3 linked regions of the Lytechinus pictus genome follow. The main gene of each other region encodes a partner of the protein of the gene in region 2 in a complex. Links are inferred from orthologs where the notes say so. Each region holds a gene or a part of one and is shown on either strand. Other genes may lie near its edges.

What was found. The genes of interacting proteins can lie anywhere in the genome.
Region 1: inhibitor of growth protein 4-like (region 2) and peregrin-like share a complex: the UniProt entries of both Drosophila melanogaster proteins name them as parts of the enok complex. The link is inferred for Lytechinus pictus from reciprocal best matches to the Drosophila melanogaster genes Ing5 and Br140.
Region 3: inhibitor of growth protein 4-like (region 2) and chromatin modification-related protein MEAF6-like share a complex: the UniProt entries of both Drosophila melanogaster proteins name them as parts of the enok complex. The link is inferred for Lytechinus pictus from reciprocal best matches to the Drosophila melanogaster genes Ing5 and Eaf6.

Annotation. Positions count from the first base shown.
Region 1 is NC_087247.1:47,609,678-47,617,877, forward strand, and holds the start of peregrin-like, read left to right. Parts: upstream 1-5,104; 5' UTR 5,105-5,538; intron 5,539-8,200. UniProt on the Drosophila melanogaster protein: Scaffold subunit of the histone acetyltransferase (HAT) Enok complex which has histone H3 acetyltransferase activity.
Region 2 is NC_087258.1:4,765,613-4,772,989, reverse strand, and holds the start of inhibitor of growth protein 4-like, read left to right. Parts: upstream 1-4,315; 5' UTR 4,316-4,398; coding exon 4,399-4,435; intron 4,436-6,335; coding exon 6,336-6,407; intron 6,408-6,886; coding exon 6,887-7,053; intron 7,054-7,377. Other genes in the region: beta-mannosidase-like, read left to right, coding at 1-78, 1,023-1,223, 1,710-1,940. UniProt on the Drosophila melanogaster protein: Component of the Enok complex which has a histone H3 acetyltransferase activity.
Region 3 is NC_087246.1:18,104,700-18,112,045, forward strand, and holds the start of chromatin modification-related protein MEAF6-like, read right to left. Parts: upstream 3,097-7,346; 5' UTR 2,946-3,096; coding exon 2,865-2,945; intron 1,957-2,864; coding exon 1,844-1,956; intron 1,085-1,843; coding exon 1,000-1,084; intron 100-999; coding exon 63-99; intron 1-62. UniProt on the Drosophila melanogaster protein: Component of the Enok complex which has a histone H3 acetyltransferase activity. Might be involved in transcriptional activation of selected genes.

The DNA.
Region 1 (8,200 bases), on a different chromosome or scaffold from region 2:
TTGAAGGGGTAGTCCTCATTAGTCACTTCTTAGCTTTATTCTTACAAATTGATATATAATATTATAATCCTTATTTATATGATGCGAGCGCGAAGCGCGAGCTAATTTTTGGAAATTTTATGTATTTTTTCCTAAAATTTGAACATTCTGGGCAATGTTTGTTATGAAAAAGATGTGTATGCAACTTTACTACGAACGCAAAGCGCGAGCAGAAATGAACTGATGGAAAAGATACCTGTTAAAGTAGCATTTAACAATCAAATAATGCGAGCACGAACGGCGAGCTAAATTTTTTTTGACATTTTGACCTAAAGAATGGAAATTGTAAGCACTTTTTGTAACTCAAGCAGAATAGGTATACAAGTAAACAATTGATGAGAGCGCGAAGCGCGAGCGGAAAATTTCGAGATTTAGTCCTATAATATTTACTGAACGAGACACTCTATTCATGTTTTGTAAATCATGAAAAGGATGAGTATTAATAATGCGAGCTCAAAACGCGAGCAGAAAATTTTTTAATTCGTTTTGAACTGGTAATTGTTAAAAAGGTAACTGTTAAGGACTGCTTGCACTTAGCCATGAAGGCGTTACATATTTCAACAATCAAAAAATGAGAGCGCGAAGAAAGAAAGAATGGAAAATTTCAATCAGTTTTTGTAATCGTGAACAGGATAGAGCTATATAATTAAATAATTGATGCGAGCGCGAAGCGCGAGCAGAAAAAATAAATCGAGATTTAGACCTAAAAAATGGGCCACTCTGTTCATGTTTTGTAAATCATGAAAAGGATGAGTAATATGGGGTCTTCCTACATTAATAATGCGAGCACAAAGCGCGAGCAGAAAATTTTTGATATTGTGATCTGAAACTGGATAATGATTTAAATAGAGAACAAGTTGAGTATCTGAATAAACATAGGCATTCTAAATACATCTTTAATCATGAAAATCAGGAAACTTTGATATTCTGATCTGACAAGAGTCAATTTCAGCTTTATATTTCAAGCACTTTGTAGAAAAATTGTATAAGGTGGATATGGATCGCACTTAAAAAAGAGTTGATATTTTCATTATTTTTACTCTGAGTTTTGACATAGGACCGGGACATCCATACGACATGTCATCATATGAAAATGATGATTATCTTCCTATTCCTCTTGCTAAGCGAGATGAAACAAAAGGGACACTTTGATTATTAAATTAATATCATATCTATTAATGCCTAATGAGGGCGCAAAATCTGATGATATTATGGCATAAAAACTGGACATTTCACTTTTGTAATTATGAATAAGATGCATCAGTTAATATATTTTCAACCATTAATGCGAACGCAAATCGCGAGCTAAAATTTTTGATAAACTGTCATGAAAAGGGGATTTTAAGTAGTTTGTTGTATAATCAATATTGAAACATATATAATTCGCCAATCAAAATGCGAGCGTAGTGCAGCGCGCTAGCTGATACGTCTTAACAATCAGACCTGAAAAGGGATATTTTGAAAATTTTATGAAATATACGAAAATAATAGGTACCTGATAAATCAAATTTTGCGAGCGCGCAGCGCAAGCAGCATTGTTAATATTCAGACGATAAAACTGACAATTTTACAGAGCACTTTAAAAAAATCAATTTGTAAATCACACAAAATAATGAAAGTTCGATTTCCGAGGTGAAATATGTTTTGTATATTGACTTCCAAACTTGACATTCGAGCTCCATATTGAACAAGATATGTAAATCAACTAACAGGCAATGCGAGCGCGAAGCGCGAGCGAAAATTTTATATAGTGGCACGAAAGATTATTTTTATTTTCCAAGTCTTCCCCTCATCTTATTTTATGCACTCGTCGTCCTTCTCTTCTATTTTTCCTCTCTTTTCCCTCCTTTATTCCTTCCTTCTTTCCCTTTTCCTTTTTTTTTGATCCGCCAAGAAGAGGGGGGGGGGCGGGCCCCTCACCCCCCCTGGTCCGCCTAAGGGGCGGAAAAATTTGACAAGCAAAAAAAAAGGTTATCATCCCAAAAGTAAGGTCATCTCGTCCCATACTCGTCCCCAAATACATGTTTTATTTCGATTTAGAATGATGTATTTCTTACCATCATAAAAGACCAAAAATAGTAGGGGGGACATTTGATATTGTGTCCCCCCTACTATTTTGAGTAGGGGGGACACGTCCCCCCTGTCCCCCCTGGGATTTCCGCCCATGGGGTGAAGGATGGGTTATTTCTCTGTAGTCGCTCGTATACCGTATGTTTGAGACATATTTAGAAAATGATATTATATTTCACTTTCTCTCTTCCATTTTCAAGCGCCCCCAATCCCCCATCATAATGCCACTGATTATCGTGGTCAGGCAGAACACGTTGATTTGGGATCGTTCGGGCCGATAGGCAGTGACGTGTGGGGTAATAGCAACGTTTTTTAATTAATAAAAACGTATTCCTGGTTGAAACACTTACACTTGCGGCTTTACAGAGGTATTGTTACATTCGCTTAATTTAGTTTAATGTGGACTTATTGGCAAAAATCGAACGATATTCAAAGCCTGCAGTATACCCCTTTTCAATGGTGTTTATTTTCTTTCCATACCTGTGCTCACTGGATCTCAGCGTGTATTCGTTTTAATACAGAATATTAAGACAGGGGTGGATCCAGCTTTCGCCAATGGGGGGGGGGGGGGGGGGCGAATTTTTTCACTCAATTCCCTGATCGGCCGCCCAAATTGATTTTGAAGGGTTAGTCCTAACAGTCAACAGCTTTATTAATTAAAAACAACAATAATCTCATAAGCCCTATTTAAATAGTGCGAGCGCGAAGCGCGAGCTAAGATTTTTGCAAATTTCATGCATTTTCCCCTGAAAATTGAACATTCTGGGTAATGTTTGTGATCCTGACCATTTGCGTATATGTAAACTATATAATACTGCTAGCGCGAAGAAAACTTTCTGCTCGCGCTTCGGGAGCAGAAAGTTTTAATATACTGTACATTCAGCCTGATCGAAAGGGGACCAGTTAAGGACTGTTTGCAGTTAGCCATGAAGACAAGAAATATTTCAACAATAAAAAAATGCGAGGGCGAAGCGTAAGCTGATTTTTTTATTATGTTCTGACCTACAATTGGAACTGTAAGCACTTTTTTATAATCATGAACAGGATAGGTATATTTAACTACACGATTGATGCGAGCGTGAAGCGCGAGCGGAAAAAAAAGAGATTTAGACATAAAAACGGGACACTTTATTCATGCTTTGTAAATATTGAAAACTGGTGGGCAATTGGGTATTTTCCTATGGCCAACATACATGTACATAATGCGAGCGCGAAGAGCGAGCAGAAAGTTTTTGATATTCTGATCTGAAACTTGATACCATGTTTTAAATAAAGAACAAGTAGCGTATCTCAATAAACATGCGTGCCCGTGTTCTACATTATAGACCTAGAATCTGCATGGGCATTCTAAATACATTATTTATCATGAAAATCAATAATGCGAGCGCGAAGCAAGAGCTGAAAACATTTAATATTCCGATTTGAATAAGGGTCAATTTAATCACTATTTCAAGAACGGTGTATGAAAATTGTGAAGTGGATATGGATTGCACTTAATAAATGATGTGAGCGCGAAGTGCGAGCTGATATTTTTTCATTATTATGAAACTTTTCCATTCTGAAAAAGACACTTAATTATATAGGAGTTAATAAAAATATTATTATCTTATTCATGAATCTAATAAGCATAATGAGAGCGCGAAATTTGTTGATAATAAGGCCTGAAAAGTGGACATTTTAAACACTTTTGTAATTATGAATAGGATGCATGGGTAAAAATATATTTCCATCAATTAATGCAAGCGCAAAATCACGAGCCGAAATTATTTATTGATAAGCTAGCTGTCATGAAAAGGTGATTTTAAGAAGTTTGTTATAGAATTATAAAGATATACATAACTCAATCAAAAGAGCGCGCAGCGCTAGCTAATACGTTTTGACAATCAGACCTGAAAAGGGATATTGCTTTATGGAATCGAAGAGGATATGTACTTGACAAATCAAATAATGCGAGCGCGCAGCGCGAGCTGAAAATGTTAATATTCAGACCGTATAAACCGACATTTTACAAAGCACTTTTTTCAAATTAATTTGTAAATCAAACAAAATAATGAAAGTTTGATGTCCGAGTTGAAATATGTTTTTATATATTGACTTCAAACTTTATATTTTAAGCCCTATATCAGCCCATTTAGCAAGATTTGTATCTTCGATCAGGCAATGCGAGTGCGAAGCGAGAGCGAAAATTTTTTAAAGTGACAATGAAGATTTTCCAAGTCTTCCCCTCATCTTATTTCATTCACTGGTCTTCCTCCTCTTATTTTCTTTTCCCCTCTCTTTTACCCCCTTTATATACCCTTTCCCCCCTTTTTTTTTCTTTCTCCTTTTTTTTTTCCCCTGGTATTTGATTATACAAAAATTCACCTATACTGTAATACGCATATACATAGAATGCTATTTTTATCTCTCGCTGTGGTTGCCTTCGTTCACATAAATCTGCAGACAATCTTAAAATAGATGTGTAGCAATGTAGCATAGTTTCGAAAGCAAACAAATGCAATTAGTGAGATGACCGAAAAATATCTAGGCCTTCTGGAAGACAATCATGAATATAAGACAAATATAGACTAGGTCTACACCCCCGTCTCTTCATAGATTGATTAATTGATAATGATCAATTATTACTAATAAAACAATTTTCATCAGAAAAGTATTTTTATATGCCATAACAAAATGTGGTTTATTTGCTCGCTCACAAATATATCATTTATTTTCATTAAAACTTCATTCCCACTAGGTCATGGTGAATAAATGGTCTATTTAGTGTGCACGAGGGGAATGGGTTAGAGAGTTCACAACATGCAGAATAATTTTCGGCACCAGCGATAATGAATTGTGAGCAAATTAAGGACAAACATCGCTATTTACACCCTCTATCTAAACATCCTCACAACTCTCCGGTCAAAATCTTTTGAAAAAAAAAAAAACATTTCCACATTTTCTCGAATTCCAACTAAAGATGGCGTTAGAGCATAGCGTAATTTTTGAAAAGCTAGGGGGGCGCTTTTCGTACCTTCGAAAAGATGTCTGAAAATGAGCGGAGGGTAGCCCGTCGAGTGCGTATCAGGACAGTACAATCGTCAAAATTTGGCTTCGAATATCTCGTTAAATGCGTAACTTTTTGCACCATTGTCTTCTGGAATATATCAAGCAGAGTCTGGACTATCATACTGTGAATTTTCATGACGCGCTTTGGACGAATTCATGGTTTAAATTAAGCAAGGCATTGTTCGTGCGTCTTTGTTCGGACAGATATTTTCGAAAAGCCTTGCTATGTGCTGTATGTATGAGAGCACAAGTGATTTGAGCTAAGCTGTGTGTTCAACGGGACATAACCGTGTCTTCTCCGCTCCCCGCCTACAACACTGCATATAGCATGGAGCGTGCGTACAACTGGCTCAGCTCAGCAGCCGATTGCAGCTAGAACAGGTCGGTAATGTGATAAGTTAGCTTTCGATTTGTACCTTGCTCAGTCCGGATTTAGCTTTTTTTTTTTACCCCAACATACGTCATTTAAATACTTTGGGGGAAATTTTAGTCATGAAAGTGCTATGAAATTCTATTTTAAAGAGGTGGGCCCATTTTTACAGGGCGTGCACAATTTTTTTTCGAGTTCGTCACGTTGGGCATGAGCATGAATATTCATGAGTCACTAAAACATTTGAACGAGCGCGGCTAGCTTGCTAGAAAGATCTCTATCAAGCCGGATATGTCTCCTTTGTTATGTACTTGTATTTTGTAGTTCAGTATGCTATCTTTCTTGTGTCTTGGAAGTTGGAACTTTGGAAGGTCCAATGAAATTGTATTTTCAAATAAAGCAAAGGAAACTATTTTGTAGAGATTTTTACTCGCACTATTCATCTGGGCACTTGACAAGCACAACGAGTACGATAATATGCCAAGGCCATAGGAAGAAGAACTATGCTTGTTGAGAGAATGAATGTGTAACTGTAAAATGTGACGTGTGTCTGTCAATACTTTTGCATTTTTTAAAATATGAAATGAAGACTGAAAATGAAGTTGATATTCTTCTGTCTAACTTTGACTTGAGTTTGATTGAGTCTTATTTTAATCATTATTTTAAAATACAAGTTTGTGAAAAGGGTAGAATCTACAGTCTTAGATCCAAGTCTATTTATGGTGGTCAAAACTACTGTACATGTACCTGTACTACCTGTAGCCACTTCCTTGATCACTGCAACCACTCTGCCTTAGCTGTTACTAGTGTTAGCTGTGGGGAATTGGAAACTACATACAGAGACCTACATGTATGCAGTAGACCTCTACAAACACATTAAAAAAAAATCATTAAAATATCACTTTTGAAACCAATGATACTGATTTCAATACAGTTGCAATTTATTTTTTATTAGTAACTTCGGGATTATTTTTGTATTCACCAGAGCGCTCAAAAACTTGAATTTTGGGCATATTTTTGTGTAGGCCCTCTATTGGTGGAAAGTAAAATTGCAAGAAAATTGTCATTCAACAATCTATTTTTAATTTAGAAAAAATAATAATTGAAATCATTTAAGTTGCCTAAGAGCCAAGTTATATGGTGAATAGATCTAGTTGTAATGGAGGAAACTGACAATAAAATCAAGCATTTGTCCCAAAGAAGAAGAGAAAATTACGCCAAACATTGCCAACGTTATTTCCCCCACCCAGTGACTACATGTATCATAACCTTGTTCATTAGATGAGTGCCTGTAGCCTACTTCTTAAAGTTCATGTCTACCCAAAGTGTAATACTGTGTTTTAGGGGCCTGCCAATGATGATCACTTTTTCCATTTTATAATGTGGTACTTTTTATGGTAGTGATTTCATGATACAAAATCAGATTAAAGAAAAAAAAAAGGAATTGATATTTCATATTAATTAATTATTTACATGTAGAGTACAAACTTAAAAAATAGTGCATTGCATATGGTCGCATGTCATAAGGTGGTCCAATTTCGCGAACAGGGTAAAAATGGTCCAAAAAATTATTTTTTGGATGTTACAGGTATTACCATTCTTAGTGAAAAAGTGTTAAGTCTCAAATACCTTTTTTTTTCTTAAAATGACTAATTAACAACTAATTATTACATAGACCTCAATGTAACAGGGCCCTGTCCACGTAGGATTATATTATTGTTACTGGGGGTGCTGAGCATTGTCACAGCACCACCAGTAACAATAGATAATCCTCTGTGGAAAGGGTTTATGCAATGTAAATATGAATTTTGAAATGTGTTTGGTGTCAAAAGTTAATGCAACATTGGATCACCCTAGTATTTAGCAGTATTAATCTTGTAACATCAATAATTAAATCTGTAACAAAAAATGAATAATTATCTGTTATTGTATGCATATTAAAGGTCAAGTCCACCACAGGAAAATGTTTTTATTTTATTAGAATAAATAGAGAAAAGTCAAACTACATGTACTGTAGCATAACACTGACAATTTCATCAAAATCGGATGTAAAATAACAAAGCTATGACATTTTTAAGTTTCGCTTATTAAAAAAAAACACCCATGCATAACTCAGTGACATGCAAATGAGACAGTTGATGATGTCCCTCACTCACTATTTGTTTGGTTTTTTTTATTGTTTGAATTATACAATATTTTTTTTTTTTTTTAATGTGACAATATGGACCAACTTGACTAAACCATACAGTATTAAACAATGCTAATTCCATATGTTCAGGGAGGAATTATTGTTGTTTCACTTGACAATGAGGAGGAAATTAGAATATTTCATATAATAAAATACTAAAGAAATAGTGAGTGGATGACGTCATCAGTCTCCTCATTTGCATACCAAACAGGATGTGCATATAACTGTTTTGTGAAATTAAGCGAAACTTTAAAATGTCATAACTTTTTTGTTTCACATCCGATTTTGATGAAATTTTCAGTTTTATGCTTGTTGGATTTTTCTCTTTTTATTCAAATCAACTTTTGTTGGGGTGGACTTGTCCTTTAATTACACTAATTAACAATATTCAATTTCACATTTTTGCCCCCAAAATGCCTGTCGCTGTTTATAAGCTTGGCAAAATGACTACATCATGAATAGAAATGTTTGTTGCAATGATATAC
Region 2 (7,377 bases):
GATGCTAGCTTCGTCACCTCCATCTGGTCTTGGACAGATCTGAAACCAAAGTATCAAGTTACCAATCAGTTTTCTCAGGTAAGTCCTTTGAAATTGGACATTCAATCATTTATTTCAGTCATCATAAAAATAAAAGGAGAATTAGCATAGACAATCAGAGGTAAGAAAACAAGAAAATACAATTACATAAAACGATTTTATGGGAATTGGAGACAACAAAAAAGAGAAAGAAGCCTAATAAAACACTGACTCCTGTATACAGACTCAAAGCAAGTACATTGTATATATTACAAAATAAACACATTTAACCGACAAACAGAGGGGGAGGGGGAGAAATTACTTTACTAATGTTGAGATTATATGAAGAATATATTTTCAGTAAAATTTTCATTATAGCAAAAAATTACTCTGAATTACGGTTTCCTTTTGTCTTTTCTGGGATTCACTGTATATCATATCTCTATCATGAGTTGGGACAAATCAATATTGTTCAAAATATCAATATTTTATACACTAGTAGATGAGTACTCTACAGGAACTAATTGTTATTATATGACACCAAGATAGATCCTTGTCATATGATTGGTTGTTTGATATCGATAATTCAACCCATTTTACATTGACATCATCAACTGTTTAATTTTGGATCCATACAATTTTGTCCATTCCACGCGCGCACCACCGAGACTGCAGGCACCACAAGTAAAACCACTCCTGTTTGCAGTGCACATGTTGTATGTACGTGATAATCAACAGACTGAGCTCCCATTGCATGACCATAGTTTGCATCGAGATTCATAAATTCTATATGAAAAAGAATCTATTTTTAGGTGTCATATAAACAAATAATTAATGTTTATGAGTGCAATAGACAGAAAACTTCATTCGGTGAAAGATGAAATGAATGATCCATTCAACTCGGCTACACCTCGTTGAATAGATCATTTCATCTTTCACCTCCTGAAATATTCTATCCATTGCATTCATAAATATTAATTATCATTTCATTTCATCTTTTCCAGAATGCACTATCATCTAAGATGGTCCTCAGAATACCCCTCGATGACCTCCTTCAGAAAGCAGCGTGTGGTTCAAACCCTCTTCCCACTTGCTTTGTAACCATGGTGATATACCATAACAACTCCACCCAACTCTCACCAATCAATCCTCTCTTTCTGTCATCCTTCAGTGATGTGATTGGACTAAAGAAACCAGTTATAAGAGTAAGTCATCTGTCTTGTTTTGGTAAATTACCAATTTTTTTCCTACTTTTTGTTTGGTCTCATCTCCATTGTCTAATCCTAGTCTCCGATCAGGTTGTCTAACAAAAAGAGAAAGAAAGGAAAACCATATTCTATATATACTATGATCATATGAATTGCCTCCAAATTTCGTTATTTCATTCATTGGTAACGGATATTTAAAAGAAAATGATCATTAAAAATCTGTTAATTGGCAACCTGATGTAAAATTTCAAAATCACTGTCTCTCCTTGCCAACCTGCACGTTTCCTACTTCAAAACATGATAACCTTTATGAAAGAATGTCAAGTACTTCAGGTATATATATTTCCTTTCTAGTGCAATGATGAAAGAAGAATTCTGGTGTTGCCAACTTGAGAAATGAAATGTGTTCACCTCCAAGTATGTTCTTTTCACTAATGGTTTGACTCTTTTTCTTCTCCTTTTTTTGTAATTGTCCCTATGTAGATCTCTTCTGTCAGCAAAGTTTTAACAGATGAGTTCCTCATTACCCTCAAAACCAGCAGCATTGCTCCATTCACTTGGCTGGACAGCGGTGGTCTTAGAGGGCGCTTCTCACAAAATGGCTTCCTAATGATGACGCCCTCGATATCGGTGACTTTCTTTGCATGGGAGTCAATGTCTACCGAAGAACTTGCCAACTCACTCACAGTTTCATCTTTAATGGACTTGTATTGAAGAATGATTTTGGATTGAAACTGGTTTAAAGCTTTTGACAGTCTTGTCACACATTGCATTGTAGGAGTTTTTAGAGATAAACAAAGCCTGTTACAAATCGCAATCCATGCCTTGCAGTGCAATTTTTTAATACTTTTTCTGAAGTAAAATCCACTTTGTGCAATCTTTACTCTGATCAATGGATGTATGGGTTGGAAATGATTATAACTATGTTATAAAAGTAATGAATTCCACCTTCAGAATTCAACCCTTTAGACTTATTTGTTTTCAAACTAAAGTAGAATTTTTACACCATTTAAAATGATGTTATTGTTAATGGTGTGTAAATTGAAATCTGAATTAAAAAGATTAAGAAGTAATGATGTTAAATATCTTAGCACTAATAAGTTTACTTGTACAGATGTCCAGGCTCAAATCCCTCAAATATTGTTGGGATGAATTTTGTAGCATTTTGATAGAAGATGATGATATTATTAAGCATGTGTAATCGCAGTATTCTTTCATCTAATGTAATTGTATGTTTATTGTTATGCAAGTATTGTTTATTGTTGCCTACTCCTGGTCAAATGCTTCCAAACAATATTTGGCAACTATTTTGTTTAGTCATTAATCTGTGGATCAAGTATTATTGTTTGAGACGGGGAAGCCACTAGAATTATGTTTCTAGTATTTTATCTGTTTTTAGTCTGCTTTCATAATGAGTTCAGACAGAAGAGAAACTTTGATAAAGCATTATTTACCATCATTTTATCATCATAAAATTTGATAAAATTCTATAATTATTTGTTGTTTATTTGCTTTATCGTGGAAATTTCAAAATTGACCCCTTCAGCATGTGCTGCTGGTCAACATATGTGAATGTATATATACTGAAATATAATAACGCATGACTATTTTTGGTATATTTCACTATTTCAGATCTTTTTATTAATCTCTTTTTTTTCATACATGTGTATAAAACGATCTTCCTTGTTACAAAATTGATTACAGCAATGGTGTTGGCAGTCTAAGTTTTTACACCATTGAAACATAAAATGCGAATCATTGTAATTTCATATGATAAACCAAAAAAAAGATATTGAGAAAAGACATCTGCTTTCTTATTACATATTCATAATGGCATGCATAGAAATAAAAACCTTTAATAACTTTGTAATTACTCATCTATCATAATGAAATGCTCATATTTCCATTAATTTCCATTGGAAAATTTCTTATTTTTAAATTCAAATTTAGATTTGAATTATCTTGAATTGTATTTTTTAAACAGTACTAAGTTGCCTGATGTGACTTAATAAATTAATATGCAGATTGATAGCATTGTGTGTTTTACCCTACTGATTTTAAGTAAATATTATAGCACTTCCTTTTTTGGTCCTACGTTTTATTAAAAATGGTATAACCCTTTTTGACTTGGAGCCACCGTTTGCGCTTGTCAGATAAATTCTAAAAGATCCAGTTTCAAAATTAACAAACTTAAAGTTTCTCTTCTTTTTTCAAAATCTATGCTTTTAGTAATTTGATTGATTGATTTTAAACATATAAAAATAAATTACACAGGGCAGCCCAAAGGCTTAATATAAATCTCATGAGTTTAAGAAATAGAAATGAAGTCAGCTACAGCTACATTTGTAGTAATCACAATAAAAAGGGAAAACATTCAATGCATAATTCATATAAGGACAAAGTACACCTTAAGAGAATAAATGAGAGGTTGAATAATGATTGGCAGAGGGAGATAGAGAGAGAGAGAGAGCAAGAAAGAAGAGAGAAAAAAGGAGGAAAAGATAGAGATGGTATATATGCATTGAGACAGCTGCTAGAAGGAATGTAGTTGAGACAAAGTTGTGAGTACGCGAGAAGGAAAGTATGAAGAGAGAAAGAAAGTGTACAGACCTGGTAGATCAGAGAGAAAAGTGAAACCATACATAATATTCAAGGTATAAGAAATATCTTGCGTTAAAAAATCACTTGAAGTAAAGCCTATGTATTTTTTTAAAAAGATGCTATAATAATCATATTACTATAATCGTATTCTTGTTTTTATTCTTATTCCTATTCTTCTGTTTCCGCCTCCTCTTATATATAGCTCCTCATCCTGATTGAATTATCTTAACTTTGGAACTTTTACCAACTTTATGTTTTCGTCCTCGTTCCTAAACTGAAAATCTTCATTGAATGTCAGTGAATTATCTCTGTTACATTAATCAATTATTAAAAATAACTTGAAAACAAAATGAAAGGAAATACGAACAGCTCTGTAGATATATACCTCCCGTGTATATTTCTATCGACAACCCGGAAGTATCCTGAGACCTCGATTTATTGCAATTATGCACGTGACGTTTTGAACAAGCCGCCAATCCGAAAACACAATGTTAATCAGTCACGTGACACCGGCATCGAAATAAACTCGACTCCGACATGATTTTATTACGCGGGAACTCATTTGACAACCATGGCTACAGCACTTTATCTCGAACAGTACCTCGACAGTAAGTGGAAAATTTCGCCTTTTGTAGGATTTGACGGAATTTGATGTGTGAATGGTTTGATACTTTAGAATTTTCTTATATGGCGTGGTTGAATTGTTTGTATGTCCATTGAAGAGAAGTGTGATTTTATTGGTCTCAAATGTGCCTCATTATGTATTCAAGAAGGTGGTTCGCATTCCTTTAGACGAGTGTACGGTGCCCGTGTATACTGCACAATGTTTGTATACGAACTGTGCTGAATGAATGAGTCATGGAGCGATATGGGCGCCGTGTGTTCAAGTTGTGTGTGCGGCTATTGCCTATGCACTGATGCTGTGTGGAGCGATGGGGCCCCTGGCTGAAGCTGACTTGGCCTTGCAGAATCATGATTGTGTGTTACGGAGCTGTAGCCCTCGTTCATCGGGGAGTTGCCCCGTGTGAATACGACTACGAGTGCCTGCTGGACTATTGCTGCTTAGCCTTAGGCTTTAGCATTGCAGCATTAAAAGAAAAATGAATTCATAAACACGATGAACGTATAATTCAAATTCAAAGAGCAAAGCTGAAGCAAATCCAGACGTCAGATTCAGACAATATTGATTGATTTTCATGATTTTTCTTTTTATTTAAAAATTAATGAAAAAATGAAATTAATTTTTAAAAATGTCCTCTTATTCGGGGGAGGGTTTGTTGCCCTATAATTTTCTCACATTCCAGGGGCTGCAGAACATTTTTGAAGGGGGGGGGGCACCGGGGCTGACCATGCAAAAAATCACAATTGAATCTAGAACTTAGAGTTAGACTGGGTGGTAATTTTTACGTTTTTGGAAAAAAAAGTGTGGGGGGGCTGAGGGGCTTCAGTCCCCCCCCCCCCCCCCCCGGCATGTGGCCCTGCATTCCTTAGCCTTTTTTTCAGATCTGTCAACTTAAATTTGAAAAAATAAAGAGTCTGCAAGGGCAAATTTTAAAGAGGGGCACACAAAGAAAATTAAAATTTTGTAGATTTTATTTCAAAATTTTTTTCAAGCATGTTTATAAGGCAATTCTTGTTAGTTTCACTTTCAACAGGGCGAGAAGAAAAAAAAAGCAGTCCCCAAAACCTGACTTTACTTATCCAGACTAAGCTTATATGCTATCAAAACGGGGTGCCAGTCGAAAAATGAGGATCATCTTTGATTCTATGGTCATCTTCGTTTCTGGGGATTTCTCCACCCAATAAATCTAGGAAAGTTTGTTCACTTTTCAATACCCTAATTGAGTGTGCTAGTCAAAGTAAACCTTGGTTTTCATAACAAGTTCCTGGGGAAAATTGCAAGAATTGAAAAAGAGATCAAACTATTGGGGTATTTTGCGATACCAGGAAAATTATTCCCTGAAAACATGTGTCATGGCTGCAATTAAGTGAAATTTCAAGCATCTTTGTAAGAACATTGTGGTAAGAAACTGGCCAAAGTTTACCAAAAATATACAACTTTGATATAGCCTAATCTGAGCCATCTTTAATTGTACAAACCAACAATTTTTACTTGTGTACCAAATTTGTTTTTCAAAAGCAAAGAAATAAATATATTTAAAAAAAGTGCTCACCAAGTAGCTAACCCTTGCTGTTCACAACACGTTTTGTCTTCATTTAAAGCATTGGTGTGTTATCCCAAACACCAAATTGCTTATGGTGGCTTGATTGGAACTACATTTAGGAGTGGTTTCAAACTAGATTGGCAGTTATTGTCTAATAGAGAAAGAGGCAGGTCGCATGAACCAAAAATGCCTCCACCTTATTCGTATCCATTTCAACTATCAATAATACCCTTTAAGTGGCTCTAAGTTATTGTATTTCTTGAAGTTGTGCCATGTGACTTGAATTTAACAGTAAACCGTAATACCGTATATATCACAATTTATTTGTTTTTTTTTCTTCCAGGTATTGAAAATCTTCCTTTTGAGCTTCAAAGGAACTTCACACTGATGAGAGATTTGGACCAGAGAACACAAGGTATTAAAGAAGGAAGCTTAATTACATCCAAATGTGCCCCCCCCCCCCCCGTATCATAAAACTGGGTGACTAATCATGATGATTTCTACGATTGTTGTATTTGTGTAATATGATCAAACTTAAGAGCCAGACCCACATTCAATTGCTAAGCTTTATGTAAGAGAGTCAGGGTTATGAAGATTCAGAAATGTATGGAATCACTGGCAGAGAAATTCATCATAAAGCATCCGTGAAGAAGTAATGATCTTTGTGTTTAGCATCTATAGGCAATTGTTGGATTTGGAAAGTATAGAAGTCCATGTGCATAATAATACTGATAATCAATGATATTGATAATTTGATTGAGATGAGATAAAAACCAACAAAGATCTGGAATTTCTAAGTTGGTATTCTTTGCAAAATGGCATGCATTGAGTTTGTGATGATGTCACAAGCCCATTTGTGTGATATGCCTCTTTATGTGCTCAATTTTTCTCCAGAACTTGCCAAGAGTATAGACGAGGATACGGTGAACTACTTGAAGAATGTCAGGGATCTGAAGCCAGAACAGAGAGCTGAGAGATTAAAGAAGATAAATCACTCTTTCACAAAAAGTAGGGAATATGGCGACGACAAAGTACAGCTTGCTATGCAGACATATGAAATGGTGAGAGAATAGCTTCTTGCATTAATTAAGTTCACTTGATTCATACCAAGACATAAGAGAAAACTAACTTTATTAAATAAGAAAGTTATGACATTTTAAAATTTTGCTAAATTTCACAAAATATGCACATCCTGGTCTGTATGCAAATGAGCAGACTGATGACATCATCCACTCACTGTTTTGTATTTCATTATATGAAATATTCTAATCTTATTGTCAAGTGAAACAGTAATTCCTTCCTGAACATGTGGAATTAGAATTGATTTATACCATATGGTTCAGTCAGGTTGATCCTTATTGTCAAATCTGTATAAAAAAAAGAAA
Region 3 (7,346 bases), on a different chromosome or scaffold from region 2:
TCACTTTCCCTGGATAGTCTTTAGTTTTGAATTATCACAATGGTTATTTCCATGGTACTTACTCCTTTCATTCTGTGAATCTGTGAGACCAAGAGATGCCTGTTGAAAAATAAAGATTAGTGGTAGCTATTATTGGTGAAAGCTCATTAAAAGTGGGTTCATATTAACTATATACCATGAAAACATATGCAAGACATCAATTGAAATTCCACTTCCTATAATCTGATGAATTTTTAGTACAATAAATCAAATTTCACACATCAAAGGTCACAGTATATGCAACACTCCAATGATATCTGTCAAGAACTTTCTGTAAAGAATGCCCACATTGATCACAGGCTTATTTGCCTGAATGGAAATATCATCAGTCCTTTATTTTTGTACGAGACCAATTTACAAGACTCAATATTTGTATATAGCTCATTTCTAAACCAATTTAAACAAATTTGCCATGTACTAATACTTGTTTCTTCTACGAACATTTTTTTTTTTTACTCAGGGCAGTAATCAAATATAGTATGAACATCTGCCTATGACATAAAACTATTATACTAAGAAAACTATTGAAAAAATGACATATTGTGTATTAAGGCAATTAAAGCAATTGCCCTTTACCCTACATCTCAGTCTCATGTTGAAATATAAATCAAACATGAATATATGTCATTTCCATTTTGGTTGACAAAGTATTAAATATGCATATATCATGGAATTTCACCCTTCATTTATGAATTTTTAAAAGATCTATGTAAAAAGTTGAAATCTCTACACCTAGACTACAAAATGGCTAGAAAAGTGATGTCACTGTGATGACTAAAATGTATTTTTTCAAGTTTGACTCAGTATGACATTTTAACACAACACACAGAATTGCCAATTTGAAATTAATGTAGTCTTAGTAATCTCATATTTCAAAGTTTTAAACAGCCATTACTTTCCCATTCCTGGCCCGGTTTCTTTCAATATTTGTTAAAGACTGGTTTCCCCTAGAACACTTACTTGAGATGTAATACTTGATTTAGAAAACAGTCTGTCAGCTTCCTTGAACTTTCTGTTTCGTTTGTCTGTCTTACTATTGGTACTCCTGCAAATAATAAAATGTTACTCGCATATTCTCTTATATTTCATATATTATCTCTTATATTTCAATCATCATTAAACCAACATTAATTGTAAGAATTGAATCTTTTCTTGAATTCAAGACCAAATACTTACTGAATTGGTAACATATTGCTGAGTAAAAACAATACATTCTGAGGCGTACCAGAAACGATATGCGCAGAAACTCAACTGTAAACCTGAATACACTTGCATTTAGAGATTAATGAAAAATTTTAACCAAAAAAAAAAGAGAGATGCTAATGAGCTATTTTGTTCTGTTGTTTTGTTTGTTTGCAACTCTTAGTTACCCGGTGCTGAAAATTGCTGTGGAGTAGCACTTGTGCCCCCTGCTAGAAATTGCAAACAGAACAAAATGGATGCATCCATGCCACAGGGATTATAAGGTTTCGTGCCGATGAATTCAAGCAAGAAAATTGAGAAATCCTGCTCAGTGCTACTATTTTCATAGCGTTACTGGGTTGATTTATTGTTTAGATATATAGTATCATGTGTAATTTTCGATATACGGTATAAATCTAGATGAAGGCCTGAAAATGGTTGCTATTCTCAGTCTTTGGTGACACTAAATTTCTTATATTTTTTATTTTAGCAGTCCATCGGTCTGGAAGAAATTGCCCACTTCGACTCGGCCCTAAAATCACCCATATCTGAAAAACCATTCATCCAAGTGATAACCAAATACATATGTAAACAACAAACAATATTCCTATTTCCTACTTACTTATTTGTTAGATATCTGTCCCATCCTCTTATAATGTTGCCATACAAAGCTGTGTCTTCCAGGTAGCTGCCTTCAAATGCATAGATTTGTCTTTCAAGATTTGCAAGTGTCTCCTGTACATAGGATATTCAAGTTAATTTTTTTTTTTAAAGACAATACCTACCCCTTTCATTGAAGTTAAAGTCAGTAAAGTGAGTGATTGTTTTACGGATTGGCCTTGTAATTACCGAACACATGAATTTACGCATCAGAAAATAATTTCCATATATTCTCAAAACTTTGCAACATCCTTCCAAAGCCAGGGAATTCAACTAGAAAAAATGATGAACAAAATTATAAAAGCCAAAAACACACTTCATTTATTCTCAAAATAACAAAATATGGTTGAACTAGGTGATTTTGTGAAGTTTCAAACTTTTCCCACAGAAAACACAGAGTCGGTAATACCATTTTCAAGTGACAAACATATTTCACATGCGAAGAGGGCCGAGGGGTGCGATCAAAAGCCGATATCATAAAAAAAGAAAGCTGATCTTGGCAAAATGTGTACATCGTTATTCTTTGTAAATACACTATTTGTGATTCACCAGGCCTGGTATTCATCCTGTAGGCTGTAGTGTAGTGGACGTTTGTCATTTAAGAAACATTGTCATTGATTGACTGTGTTTGATTATCTCTCATCTGATCATAATGATATGATTAAATCAATAAATTTATTCAAAAAAACACCAATGTATTCAACATTTGACAATTGTACTGCGTAAATATATTATTTGATTCAATGATGTAGATCTATACGGGGACGGGAATTAGCTTTGTGCATTTTAAGTAAAAATATCACATTATTGTGAAAATCCCATTAGATATGTTCGCGTAAACTTCGCATGTGCCGGTATACCGTCGGTCAAGCAGCGCAGGGCCAGATGTTCGCACTTTTCCGTACGGCAATCTGTCGAAACTCATTAATCTGACATCTAATTACCGTATTTTACTTAACGGTATAGGATGTCATGATACTTACAGCTATTTCTGATCTTCTCTTCACCAATTCCGCTAATTCTGTTCTCGTATCTGACGCCTGCTGCGCACTTTTGGACGACATTTTTCTCTCGACCTTAAAAATTCCGCATCTGGGCAAAGTCCGATCATCATCAATCAATCAATTTATACGCGAATATAATAATAACGAACGTAGAGGGAAGCAACACAATGATGGAAAAACGAGCTACTCTGATGATCTGATAGAGAAAAATGAGCTTTTTTAGAAGACGGGTTTAAAAAGGGTATAATGCGCAGGTTTCAAATGGGACAAGACAAGAAGAAGCATATCAAACTCTAATAAATGAAGAATCGAGTGCTTATTGATAGTAGATAATTAGTCAAATCACTCTCAAATAATATTATCAATAACTTTTGCCTCGGTCAGGAATGATAAAGAGACCTAGCAATTTTTTCAAAAAGTGAAAGAGACTTTATTTGTTGTGAGGTATAGATTATCAGACAAGACACATAGCAAAGATTAGCGATCAATCGCTAAATGGACTGACCAATCAAGATCAATGTTACACACGCATTTGGTTCCGATACTGACCAGGATATAAAAGTATTCTTTCATCATATGAAAGAATTCTTTCATATTTGCCATTCATCGCTAAGCTTTGTGTTACGGAGCCTTGCAATCAGTTCAAGGTTATAGGCCTACCACACAGAAAAATTCTGCTAAAAAAGGGGTTTTCATACTAAAGACTTAACACACGAAATGGTTCTGGAAAAAAAATCAAAGTATTCTTTTATTTTTATTTTTTGGGGGGTCCTTAATTGTACAGTTGGTTTCTAGTATAAATAATAGGCCTATATAGGATATATGTTAAAATATAACCTTGTTTCATATAAGGTAGATTATTGTTCTTCAGGTTTTTGCAAATTATTTGATCGATGGATATATCCTTACCGCCATGTTCCAGTACTTGTGGTTTATACATTTTGTTGTTACAATATATTACTGTTTACTATCAATAGGACCCCATTGGAAATAAGGCGGCTTTCGTGTCACGGGATTCTTATAATTCATTGTATCTCATATTACCTGTGATATTCTTGACAAATAAAATCAATCAGTCAATCAATCAATCAATCAATCAATCAATCCATACATACATAATTGCTATGAAGATGAAGATTGGTAACCTTGTCAACACTAGGCAGATGCCGTTGGCTCCCGGACTGTACGGTCTACATCAGAGGCGGATCTAGGATTTTCCAAGGGCGGGGGCACATCTTCCGGAGAAAAATTTGCCAAGCAAAAAAAAAAGGTATTCACCCCAAATTTAAGTTCTTTAAACAAAAAGGGGGGACCGGCCGGATATGCCCCCCCCCCCTGGATCCACCAGTGGTCTACATGATTTTGATTGATTTTAATTTCCATTTGGTCTGCTTTCCTCTCGCCCATGTTCCATTATCGTTATACGTTTGACGCATCCTTGAAGATTTTTAACCTTGATTATTGATATATTGATTTTTTGATTATGAAAGCAACGGGAGGGCCCTGATGGGAGGGGCCCTTACCACCCCCTCCATCCCGGCCTTGATTGATATAGATCAAGAGGACCACGGTGCAATTAAGCATAGTTTCACTGCAAAAAATATTGGGTAATTTTTTTACCACCATGGACCGGGTAATTATGTGTCCAACCAATTTGGGGCAGTTACCCAATGCGGAAAGCATATTATGTAAAGTTAAAAAATGAGCAGCAATTACTTTAGAATTGGCAAAATTTTCATCACACTTGATAAATGCCCAAAAGAAATGCCCAATGTTGGTTGGGCACATAAAACCTCACTATGAAGCACTTTTACGCAATATTTTTTTAGAGCGTTGGATTGCAGGGGTATAGAATTTTAAAGAGTGGGTTCTAGTAAAGTGTTAACAAGCACGCCCCCCCCCCCCCAGGTGACTTTGGTCTGCTAGGTGACAAGCAAAAAAAGAGAAAGATAGAAAAGAGAGAAAGAAGGAAGGGAAGGAAGGAAGGAAGGAAGAAAGAAATGGCGGGGGGTGTACTCGGGGGTAGGCCTATATACTCTGTTACGATACTATAAATAACAAGGAAAATTTATTACAGGAAAAAGATACACTAAACAAAACAAACTGATCTTACATCTCTTGAAGTGTCAGTTCTGATTATAATCCAGAGTTATGATAGTCCCGTATTGAATCCAGATAAAATCCAAGTTGGTTGGTCAAGATTCCTTAAATGAAAGTTCACAATGATGGCGATGATGAAATTGATGTTGAAACACGATGAATAACAAGATTCACAAACTGCAACGAGTTGCAATGTCCGTGAAGATGAAGTTGATGATGACAAACAGTCGATTTCATCAATCCATGGGTTGAAAAGCATTCATTAAATCAGGTTGATGATCTCGATGAGAACTGAGAATTCCCCTCTCAAAGTAACTGCAAACAGTTCATTGATATGGCTAAATGTGGTATTCCAGTTGGAAATAAACTATGCTCTGACATAATTAAGGCTGGTGTGAAACTCTGAGTTCTGATCTGATGTGATGATGTCCTTAAAGAAACTGCCAGCCTTTATAAACATTCACTATTCTGGAAGCTTCTCGTATTGTCTTTAAAAAGAACATTATCCTTCTTTCTAGAATAGTCCAAACACTTCTAGAAGACTCTTGAATGACCTCAGTGAAATTAACAATGTAAACAACATAGCTAATCCTATTGTCCTTTTCACTGCCACTATAGAAGTCTTGTCTATCTTAATATATTCCAGAAATAACAAGATTACTCTATCTCATTAAATAGCATGCCTAACAAAGCTTTACTGGGACATTCTGGAATATTCTTAATCATGAATAATTTTGATGTTATTAATAATTTTAATGTTATCGTGACGTTTTTTTTTCTTGTTGGTTTTATGTATTTGTGATACTTTATGTATTTTTTTGTTTGATTCATTTTACCTTTTGTTCTTTTATTTGTCCTTGTATGCTACCTGCTTTATGCCATTTTATATCAATAATTTTCAAAGTGTTTTTAATTGTCAATTTTATAACTTATTTATACATTTTACTTAGTTTAATTTTAGTCACACGTTTTTAAAGAAATTTCCTTTATTTCTATGATTTTGTTCGTCTTTTAAACTGTCTTGATTTTAATCTAGGTTTTTAATTTTTGTTTTGATTCATTTAATGTGATATCATTGATATGTCATGTAATTTTGATAGTGTATTGTATTTTACTTTATATTAATTGTATTTCATTTATTTTGTAAATCTTTCTATGTCTACAGGGCTCTTTTGTAAAGCAGGCCTTTGGGCTCTGAAAGGACTATCCTGTTTTTAAATAAAACTGAATAAATAAATAAATAAATTATTATGCTATGAATATCCTTGAAGAGAAAATAACTAAATAAATGAATGTAATTGCTCTTACAATTCTACTTATATATAACAACTCCCAAACGAAGGCGAATAGTTTGGTCAAATCTATGCATTTTAGACCTTTAATATACATGTACCAACCTTGGCTAATAGACCAGTTCGTAGTTACTCATGGGCAATTTTCGGTCAAATGACCTTTCATTTCTTTCATTATGATAGGCAGATTTCAAAGCAAAATATTACGTAAGCTTGCCTTACATAGCAGGATGAAGAAATTGAATGACTAGAATAGCACACCAATGAACACTTTATGAAGGTATTTGTTGCATTCCTACTTTGAATGCATAGCATGTTGCACAATGTACTTGGCAAACTGTGAAAACCAGTCGTTCGTGGACGCGTTGTTGTTTTTTGTGGATGTAAATGAAAACCATGCACAATTCAAAAGAATACATGAATAATAAAGACATCAAAGTTGGTGCTTATCTCATTAGATTTTAAACCACCATGTCACTTTAGTACAAATGACCTTCCTCTGATCGATCATGCGTAGAATCTTTTGATCATGCGCAGAAAGGAACTACGAACTGGCTTATTAAAGGACAAATCCACTCCAGAAAAATTTTGATTTGAATAAGTAGAGAAAAATCCAATTAGCATAACACTGAAAATTTCATCAAAATCGGATGTAAAATAAGAAAGTTATGGTATTTTAAAGTTTCACTTTTTTTCACAAAACAGTGATATGCACAACTCAGTGACATGCAAAATTAATGACAGAGTCGATGATGTCCATCACTCACTATTTCTTTTGTTTTTTATTGTTTGAATTATACAATATTTCATTTTTTACATATTTGACAATGAGGACAAAGTTGACTTAACCATATTGTATTAAACAATGCTAATTCCACATATTCAGGGAGGAATTAATCATTTTTTCACTTGACAATGTGGAGAAAATCATAATATTTCATAGATCATAATAAAATACAAAAGAAATAGTGAGTGGATGATGTCATCAGTCTCCCCATTTGCATACTGACCAGGATATAACTGTTTTGTGAAATTAAGCGAAACTTTAATATGTCATAACTTTCTTATT